2 linked regions of the Caenorhabditis elegans genome follow. The protein of the gene in region 1 purifies or fractionates together with the protein of each later gene. This does not show direct contact. Each region holds a gene or a part of one and is shown in the gene's direction. Other genes may lie near its edges.

Region 1 (6,621 bases):
GTTATTTGTTGGAGACGATGGCTGAATGAAGAAGGGACAACAACAAGAATTCGGGAGCAGTTTCGAGCAATTTTTTTCGAAAATTGAGCAAAAAAAAACTACGGGTTAAAAGGATTTTTTTCTGAACTGATTTTTAATTTTGAAACAAATATTATTTTACCAAAAAAATCTTCTGATTCTGATTTTTTCTGATTTTTTGATTTTTTTTGATCTTCTGATTTTTTAATGCGAAAACTGCAACTTTTCATTCAAAATCTTGTGCAATAATGAAAGTGTTTAGTAGAAAAATTATTTTGTTGACTCTCACTTGTTAACAAAGAAAATGAATGAGGAAATTAATTATTTAGGTCTTCTTTGGTCTTTTCGGGCCTTTTCAAGTCCTTCAGAGTAATTTAAAAATCTCTTACTTTTATTTTAATAATTAATTCTTCGAACTTTTAACTTTTAGACATAAATAAAACATAATTGTATATCGAGGATCAAAATGCACTCTGGATTGAATTTCCAACTGAATACACAAGAGAACATACCCGGCAGATGGGTGAAGAATAATCTTGCCAGCTGGCATTTATGAACCAGCTAGTCGGTTGCAAAATGTAGAATTTGCGTATGCAGCTTGTAAAAGGAAATCCGGATGAAAAATCTAGAGAAAAAAGACGAAAAAGTGTTCTGGAAGACCGAATGTCCAAACGCAACAAAAACTGATAAAATTCGGACGCGAAAACTATGAAAACTGAAGAGAAACGAACAACAACTACGTCGTCGTCCACGTACACATAACTATATGTACAACCAATTCTCCCATTTTTCTCTCATTCCTCTTCACATCCACACAATCTCTACACTTCTTGTGTTCATTCGTTCGTCCAGTTCAGCCTGCGGTCATCTAGAAAGACGACCTCGATTTCCGATTTCAATCTTTCCATCAGCTTCTGTGTCTCTTCAATTTAAATAGATTATTCATTTCTTCACTCTCGATGTCCGCGTTTAAACTGAACAAAAAACACTGGCGTGTATGCAAATTGGAAAATGCATCGATTTTTTGTTGGAAACAACTGATTTTCAGGTGAAATGTGGGTTGAAAGGAAAAACTACTAATTACGAAAAAGGGGGCCAAACCAAAATGGCATTGAGAAACGCGTGGTGTAGGAGGATTAAGGAGTATTTACTGAGGTAATCGGAGAGGTTGCATTCAGATATCGGAATAAAAGTGAGAACTTGGGGACAGTTGAGTTTGAAAATTCAATATCTAACCTTTCAACGCTTGAAAATATGGTGTTTTCTTGATTTTTTCTAAACAAACCGAAAAGAGTTCACATTTTACGTTGGAATAGCGCAATCTAACTCAAATTCTATGAAAACCAATGTTTTAAAATTATTTTACACAAAAAAAAACACTTTTCATGAGAAAAAGGAAGAAAATCAAGAAAAAAAATAAATAAGTGGAAGTTATCCGAGAGGAGTACATATTACTGCACACAATACACACGAAACTACGGAAAATTGCAGACGCGACGTGGTGTACCGTATCCTGCGCTAAAATTGTCGATTTTTTATGTCTGCAGACATGTCTGAAACTCTGAAAAATCCTGAAAACAAACAAAGATTCACATGCAAAACAATTCACCCCCGCAGAGCATCCAATTTTGCATCAAATTGGCAGTTACATGGTTGACAAGCGCCCGCAGCGCCTAATCACACTGATTATTTAGTTGAAACGAGAGAACGAGAGCCGAAGAGAAAGAATAATTCGTTATCTTCCCTGATTGTCCACCAGTAAATTGAAGAAAGCACTGCGGAGAGTTGCCATTCTCCTAAAATTCACTGATAGCAAATCACGGTTATCAATAAAGAGTGGGACAGAGTTTCCATTTTTCGGTTTTCCTAATTCGTTTTTTGATACTCCAAAAAGTTACATTTCTAGTTACTTTTTTCTTTTTTTAAGCAATTTTGAGAAATTCGAGATTTTCAGAAGAATGAGTTCTTCTCTTTACACGGGTGGCCAGGCCCTTTTCATATGCCTGGCGTTCATTGGCCTCGATCTTCTGGTCAATGTATTCGGACTTGCTTGGAATGGAAAAGTATGAAAATATGTTCAAAATTCGAACCAAAATCTCTTTTCAGTACTTCACGTTCGACAATATCGCTCACTGGTTTGATTTGGCCAACTATAGTTTTTTGAAAAATCCAGTAGATTTTTTGGTAGATCAGAAAATTTTGTTCAACCACCATAAATTGAGTATTTTAGGCGGTTGCGTTGATTCGTGACAGTATTTTGCTCGGCGGAGCAGTTTCAGCATGGGCTTCACCTTCCGGATTCTCACAAGTCGCCGAAAATGTCAAGTAAGTTGCCAATTTTGAGAACTTCAAGTGGGAAAAATCAATTCAAAGAAAATCAAATTTGTTACAGTACTCGTCGTTTGAAGGCGCATTCCAAATTCCCGAATAACAAATCATTGAAACTTTTTGTTAACATGATAATTTCCAGGAACGTAGTTTTTGCAATGATGCTCTTGATTGTTGCATTTGCTCCATCGAAACTTCTAGCATTCTATGAAGATGACAATATCCGGTTGGCAGTTGGTGATTGGATTCTTATGATTTGGTGTATTTTCGCTTCACTTCTTCTTCAAGGAATCTGGACTTCTGTGCTTGCTCATGTAACAGAAGTTGCAGCAGGAACAGGAGATTCTCTTCTTTTTGGAGATGCTGAACACGAGGAGAGACTCCGTCAGGAGGAAGCTGAAAAAGCTGCAGAGCAAAGAGAAACCTTCCAATTGTTGTTCAGACTTTTGGGCTACATGGGAAGGCAGTGGAAATACTATGGAATGGCATTCTTCTTCCTTTTCTGCTACTCCCTTAGTAAGTTCTCTATTCAAAAATTAAAAAGTTTTAAAAGCCATCATACTTTCTTGTCATCATGAGAGTTAATCAAGAGTAGCAAATAAACCTAAATCACGTGGCGTGGAGTTGAACTCGGGAGCGGCGAGCGGCAGCCGGCCGCGTTAACCACTAGGCCGCGAGTGAAACAAGTCGAGACAAGCGAGAAGGGCGCTTTTATTTGCGAGAAAGAAGGAGAGTTGTTAGTGAAGTTTAAAGAAAGAAAAAATCAATTGATAAAACTCGTAATTGGTCAATTATTATACAGGTCGAGTGTTCATTCCATATTACACTGGAGAAGTAGTAACAGCAGTATTCGGTGATAAAGCTTCATATGAGAAGCTTCACAAAACCGTTTTCATAATGGGAATGCTCTCATTGGCTTCGTAAGTTGTACAATAATATCCTTTTGGAAAAAAAATGTTCAGAACTGTATTTGGTGGTCTTCGTGGAGGATCATTCACCTATGCACACGCTACAATCGATCGACAGATTCGAAATGACCTATTCCGTTCTGTTGTGAAGCAAGAGATTGGGTTCTTTGATATGAATAAAACTGGTTCGTACTTAATGTGGAGGAGAATAGCAAAATAATGGTTTTCTGTAAGAAATGTAACTTCTTTCAGGAGAGATTTGCTCTCGACTGTCAGCTGATTGTCAAACAATGTCGAACACTTTGTCCCTCTACATGAATGTTCTTACCAGGTGAGATATCGAAGATAAACTTGAAAATTAAAATTTTTAAAGAAACTTGACAATGCTCTTCGGGTCTTTAATCTTCATGTTCACACTGTCTTGGAAGCTCTCAATGATCACTTTGATCAATATTCCGATCATTTTCCTCGTCAATAAAATTTTCGGAGTTTGGTATGATGTAAGTTGGGAACTAGTTGGAAGAAAAATCAAGCAATATCTAAGTTAATCTAAGTCAAATTTTAAGATTTTTGGAGTATAGGTATTGGGGGATTTTGTATAAATATACTGAACGCTGGTCAAAAATACTGAATATATTCATGTCAAGCATGTTGAAATATTTTAGGTTTTTCAAAGCAAACAAAAAATATTTTCAGATGCTCTCCGAAGAAACTCAAAACTCTGTGGCAAAGGCCAATGACGTGGCAGAGGAAGTACTTTCCTCGATTAGAACTGTCAAATCGTTCGCATGTGAGAATTATGAATCTAGCAGGTGACATTTTTTCAAGTAACAATATTTTTCTTGAATTCCAAAATGTTTAGATTCATGACTTTCCTCAACGTAACTCTCAAAATTGCTACTCGCAAAGTCTTCGTCGTTATCGGCTTGATTTGGTCAAATGAGGTTAGTGTTATTGTAGTTATGGTACAGTAACCCAAACAAATATTTCCAGCTTCTTCAAATGGGAATCCTCACTATTGTCTTGTGGTATGGAGGACATTTGGTAATTGAGAATAAAGTAGAATCAGGACTATTGGTCTCGTTTCTTCTGTATCAATTCCAGCTCGGGGAGAATTTGAGAGTAAGTTTATCACCAGGAAATCCAGTTATAAATTACCAAATTCCAGGAACTGGGAGAAGTTTGGAACGGACTTATGCAAGCCGTCGGAGCATCTAGAAAAGTATTTGAGTTCATTGATCGTCCACCACGTGTCGAAAACACTGGAACCTATGCACCTGACGGTATGACAGGAAAAATTGAATTCCGTCACGTGGCGTTCAGTTATCCAATTCGGCCAGATCTGCCAATTATGGAGGATTTGACATTTACTGTCGAACCTGGAGAGGTTGTTGCACTCGTTGGGCCATCTGGTGGTGGAAAGTCATCATGTATTGCAATGCTAGAACATTTCTATGAGCCAACAAGTGGAGAAGTTCTAATTGACGGAGTTCCGGTTAGGTGAGAGCACAAAAAACCACACAAGTTTTTGAAAAAATTTCTGAAGTCCTTTGAGTTTGCCATATAGTTCTCGTTGGGAATCTCAAAAGATTTGATGATTGAGCAACCTTTGAGCCACTTATGACAATGGCCCAGCTTTAGTTTTTGTTCTATGGTCAATCAATTTTCCAGAGAATACGATCATAAATTCTTGCACACCAAGGTAGCACTTGTGGGACAGGAGCCCGTACTATACGCTCGTTCGGTCACGGAAAACATCGGCTATGGATTAGACAAATACGATGATGATATGGTACAAAATTCAGCGAAACTCGCAAATGCTCATACTTTTATCATGAATGACACCACTGATGGATATAATACAAATGTTGGAGAAAAAGGAAGCCAAATGTCAGGTGTGTATTCTAATTCTTTGAAATTTAAACTTTGAAAGCAAGTATTTGCAGGAGGTCAAAAGCAAAGAATCGCAATTGCCCGTGCCCTTGTCCGTCAACCAGTTGTACTTCTTCTCGATGAAGCTACATCTGCTTTGGACGCTGAATCAGAACATACTGTTAGTTTTTTCGATCCATTCATACGAAAACTACATCTTTTCAGGTCCAAGAAGCAATTTCAAAAAACTTGAAAGGAAAAACTGTTATCCTAATTGCACATAGACTATCTACTGTCGAGAATGCAGATAAGATTGTTGTGATTAACAAAGTTAGTTTTGAATATCTACAGTTTTTGGAAAGTAAACACTTACAAAAAAGAGAATTTTGAAAAATTCAAGAAATCCATGAGTTAGGTCAAAGATGTTCGTTTTTGAAAAATTATCGAATTCACTTAATATACGATAGGGATATATTTTCACATCTCCTCGTAATTTTACCAAAAAAGAGCAATAAGAAAATATGGGAAAATCCTAAAAACTCGCATCGCATCACTGTTTCCCAGGTTCAAGCCATTTTCAGCTTTTGTATAAGAAATATAACTAATGCCCAAAACTTTCAGGGAAAAGTTGAACAACTTGGAAATCACAAGACCCTAATGGAACAAGAAGGACTCTACAAACAATTGGTCCAACGACAAATGATGAGCGGAGAGGATGGTCTTGATGACGAAATTGAGGAGCCCGAACCAGCCCGCGAAGGAGGTTCAGGCCGTAGCACTAGAGCCGGAGCACGTAGAATTAGAAGTCCATCACAGTCTGTTAGCCAGTCATTTTTGGGTACCTCATTTGCAAGCAGCTATTTGTAAATCTTATTTCTAGCTCGCGATTTTATTGAAATGTTTCTTGATCTATTTTAAATCTGTTGAGTAGTGTTCTTAAATCTGAATTACACTTTTTTTTGCTCATGTTGTTATCTATGAAAGGTTTTTTGAAATGTCTATATATTTTTCTAGCCTAGAAGAAGGAAGAGGAAATTGAAATTGTTCTGATCTGAGAATCGGGATACGGTAGAGATAACATGTTTGAAACGAAATTGAAACAATCATGGTTGCAAAAATACCTTCAGTCTACACGGCCTCTCTCAATTTCATTTATTTCAAAATTCCTCTTTTTCTCTCACACTCTCTCACGTGAGATTGAAAATTGAATAATATATGTGTTTTTAAATTAAATTCAAAATATTGACGAAGAAACAACTTTGGTAATATAAATACCGATTTGTTCGGACTGATACCAAATGGTAATTTTCGGACATATTTGATCTCGTAGACAACGGCTCACTATTTCAGTTATCTTTAAAGTAATAAAAAATTCTTCAAAGTTTGGTACAGAGAAACTGAAGTAGTTACATTTGTAGAAACTTACATAACGTATAAACCTACCGTATTCCTATCGTACCCAATTACCGTATTTCCTCTATTAGTCTTGAATGCA
Region 2 (3,567 bases), on another chromosome or scaffold:
ACTTATGTTTGAAAAATGGAAAAGTAAGTTTTATATTTCAAAAAAAGTTTATATCACAATTTTTCTAGAAATTAGTAAATGATCAATTGGAAAAAATCGGAGCATTTCTGACATCAACAGCAGATTCCAAGGTGTTTTCAGCAATGTTTATTGATGAATATGATGAATATCGTAGACAATCAATTGATCAAGATTTGAAGTATTATAAAAGTTTTTGAGGAAAAAAACGGACCTTTTTTCAGAAAAATGTTGGATCTATTAAAGGAATCAAACATTTTCGAGAACACTACACTAATCATCACTTCGTACGACTTATCAACAAAGTGAGATTCTTATTTACATTACATGTTAATTTGAACAATTTGCAGAGATATTGAAAACGAAAACGACAAATATCCAATGTTTGCTTTTCGTCCATCCAACCAATTCATAGAAAATAATAATCAGAAACTATATTTCATGAATATGAATTTCAACAGGTTAGGTCTAAAAATTATATTTAAAAAGAATATCTGAGTTTAGGTTATTGTCTTCTACTAATTTCAATCAAATGCTTGTTGAATTAATCAATCCGAAAGAAAAATCTTCAAAATCTGTCTTCATAGCTCAACCAACATCAAGGAACTGTACGTCTGAAGGAATATCAGAAAATATATGTTTATGCATGAATATGGTAATTTCTTTGAAAGTCGGAGAAAAATATAATTATACTTTCAATGTTTAGAGTACATCCTCTGGGTATCCTGAAAAAGGCGAAAAAAACTTCCTTCAAACATTGCGAACAAGATTTACACAAGAAGTGAAAACACACAAATGTGTTCGTTCGTTTGAACTTGAAGATTATAAAATTTTTTATGAATACTCAATTGGAACGTGCGTTATTTTATTTGTATTTCTCTACAATTAGATAAACTGTTGTTCAGAAGTAAGGAAGTACGTGGCGTAGAATTGACCGGATTTGTGAATATTATCAGTTCAAGGGGTAAGGTAAGTTCAATTAATTTTATCTTTTTTTGTTGCAACTAATTTGTTTTTTTTTCCAGAAAACCCTTTTGCTGAAAAAGATGTTCACCTTCAAACCGGAGTTTGCTTCATTTAATAGTTTCGATACAGCAAGGGTTGTTGTCGGTTATGAAGTTAACATTGGTATTGCAAGGTAGGGATTTCCGGTGGAAATTGTTTATTTATTAATCTGTTTTCAGCATGTGTGATTTGTAAAACAACAATCTCACAGGCACTGGCAAAGATTAATACGAGATTCCAAATTTCAGAATGTCACATATCTCACTATATAGTTTGTTCTTATTATTTTTCAAATTATATATGAAATTGATTTTAAGCATATTGTTTTTTTTCCAAAACTGACCCACATAAACAACGAATTTTCATCCCCCGTTTCACCTCATTTCTTTCGTCCTTCCTAGTTTTTCCCTCGCTTTCCATTCTCCTTTTTATTCGATTTTACGCCCTTTTCATCAGCTTTTCCCCTCAATCCTTATCAAATTCCATTACATCACCATGTTCCTCTGTGTTCTGTGATTGTTTCCATATCAATTAGTTCTGTACAGATGACCACCTTTTGTCCGAATCCCCAGCCCGTCTCGTTCGTCACGTTTTTCACTCACTTTCTTCTTCAGTTCGGTTCCACAAACGGCTTCCGTCTGCGTCTCTGAACATTGTTTCACTGTTTCTTCTCTCTTTTTTTTGTCTACTGAGACATACAAAACCTTGTAATAATATCTAGATGCAGGTCTCACCTTACTGTACTATTTTTCGAGATCTGAATTTCCTCGAGACTATTAAAGACGGACTGAAACAGTGGCTACTTCTGTAGAGTGAAGCCATGTTTGAATGTTTGAAGGCCGTTCCTCTAGATTTTTATAGCTTTTATCGGAATTGCCCATCATCATCAAATTAATAATATCGTATTCCTTTCCGATTCATATTCGCACCTTGCCATTCCATTTGTCTGAACTGTTCCATTTCCATCTCTCATTCATTACATTCACCTACATTCTCATTTGCAGATGCATACTCTCTCCATTTTATTACCTTTTCTACTTGTGTTATCCACATTTTCTCAAGTATCTCATGAGTTCCGGCATAAAGCTTTTCGAACATTGAAAACTCCAAAAGTCAATAAACAAAGGTTATCTTTGATTATTCAAAGACTACGTATGAATGATACCACTAGAATAAATGGAGAAGGTATGTAATTTGAATGGGAATTTAAATACAATTGAAAGGTTTCAGAAAACTGCCCTATGTTCCAATCATTTTCTCATTGTGCCTGTGAATCAACCTGCAACAATCCAGACCCGGTAAGAACCTTTTTTCTCAAATCCAATCGTAAATAACAGGCAAAGTTTCCAATAGTACTATTATCGGTATAATTCAAAAAATTCCAGTATTGCTCTAAATGTGAGCCTGGATGCACTTGTCGAAATGGATTTGTTCGGAATTCTCTCAAATTGTGTGTTCTACCGGAAGAATGCCCACGGACCAAACTTCGACGTTTTGAACTACAACCACCTAGACGACTCTATGAAGCCGTTCCAGTTGTTATCACAACTACCACAGAAGAACCTACTAGAGCAACAACTGAAGAGCCGACAACTGAACTTATAACAGCTACTGAAATTGCTGATGAACTCGTAACAGTACCACTGATAGTTCTTCGTAATGGACCAACACCTCCATCGGCTCCTCCAATGCTACAAGAACTCTCGTCTGACATGATCGGAGCTCCATCAGCAACTCCTCCTCCAGACTTTTCCTATGGGCCACCAGGAATGAATGCAGCAAAAGTTGCATTGTATGAGAATTTTCTCAAACAAAAACGAATTATGAGAGCTCTCCGTCATCGCAGAAACCGGTTTGCAAAGAGAATGTTGTAAATCTTGGTTTTATTTGATTAACATTTTATTTCATACAACAAGATCTCATAGATTCATTCAACTATAACAATTTTTATGAAAAACGATGTGCGGAAACATGTTAAATACAATAAAACAATTTAAATATGAACAATTAAAATCTCAATTTATCTACAATTTTTCATGATGCTTCCGATGTCTTTTTCCGATGGAAGCCACTTTTTTTGACGTATCTGGAACTATTTCAAAAACAGAATCCACCGCAACTCCAGTGTCATATTCATAGAGCTTATAGTCAATATCTGAAATAATTATTTGCTTTAAAAGTATGAAAGTAATCAAAAAAATGTTACCTTTGAATAATGGCACACATTGAATTTCACAAAATGCAAGCACAGTGAAATACAAAAACAATAAGAATTTCATTTTTCGAGATAATTTGAATCAAAGTGTAGTTTTCTGCAAGGAATTATCCACTAAAAAAGCAAAATCTTTTCCTTAAATACAATCCAGTCTTCCAGATTCTAATCCTTGTTCTTTTCTCCCGTGCCGGTGGGTATCATAAACGCAAATCCGCTTTATCAACTACGTCCTGAATAAGTGAAATTTCTGTCTTTTTTGGTATAAGCTTATAAGAAATTGGCTTCCGTTGTGAATATTCCTGGTGTTTGAATCATGTCGGATTCCAATT

Evidence for each region.
Region 2: the proteins of haf-9 (region 1) and F32D8.3 fractionate together in Caenorhabditis elegans (co-fractionation; one large-scale study listed by BioGRID). This does not show direct contact.

What each region holds. Positions count from the first base shown.
Region 1 is NC_003279.8:6,079,840-6,086,460, forward strand, and holds haf-9 (ABC-type antigen peptide transporter), read left to right. Parts: upstream 1-1,972; 5' UTR 1,973-1,976; coding exon 1,977-2,081; intron 2,082-2,124; coding exon 2,125-2,202; intron 2,203-2,248; coding exon 2,249-2,343; intron 2,344-2,488; coding exon 2,489-2,862; intron 2,863-2,898; exon of another isoform or gene 2,899-2,966; intron 2,967-2,968; exon of another isoform or gene 2,969-3,100; intron 3,101-3,148; coding exon 3,149-3,266; intron 3,267-3,308; coding exon 3,309-3,439; intron 3,440-3,506; coding exon 3,507-3,585; intron 3,586-3,627; coding exon 3,628-3,754; intron 3,755-3,950; coding exon 3,951-4,066; intron 4,067-4,116; coding exon 4,117-4,198; intron 4,199-4,247; coding exon 4,248-4,376; intron 4,377-4,422; coding exon 4,423-4,754; intron 4,755-4,925; coding exon 4,926-5,149; coding exon of another isoform or gene 5,150-5,184; intron 5,185-5,200; coding exon 5,201-5,307; intron 5,308-5,351; coding exon 5,352-5,456; intron 5,457-5,747; coding exon 5,748-5,993; 3' UTR 5,994-6,118; downstream 6,119-6,621.
Region 2 is NC_003283.11:10,884,943-10,888,509, forward strand, and holds F32D8.3 (TIL domain-containing protein), read left to right. Parts: upstream 1-1,894; 5' UTR 1,895-2,027; coding exon 2,028-2,208; intron 2,209-2,253; coding exon 2,254-2,321; intron 2,322-2,408; coding exon 2,409-2,897; 3' UTR 2,898-3,031; downstream 3,032-3,567. Other genes in the region: F32D8.2 (ATPase_AAA_core domain-containing protein), read left to right, coding at 1-23, 69-199, 243-323, 369-479, 523-673, 725-873, 924-987, 1,044-1,160; F32D8.11 (uncharacterized protein), read right to left, coding at 3,048-3,178, 3,230-3,302.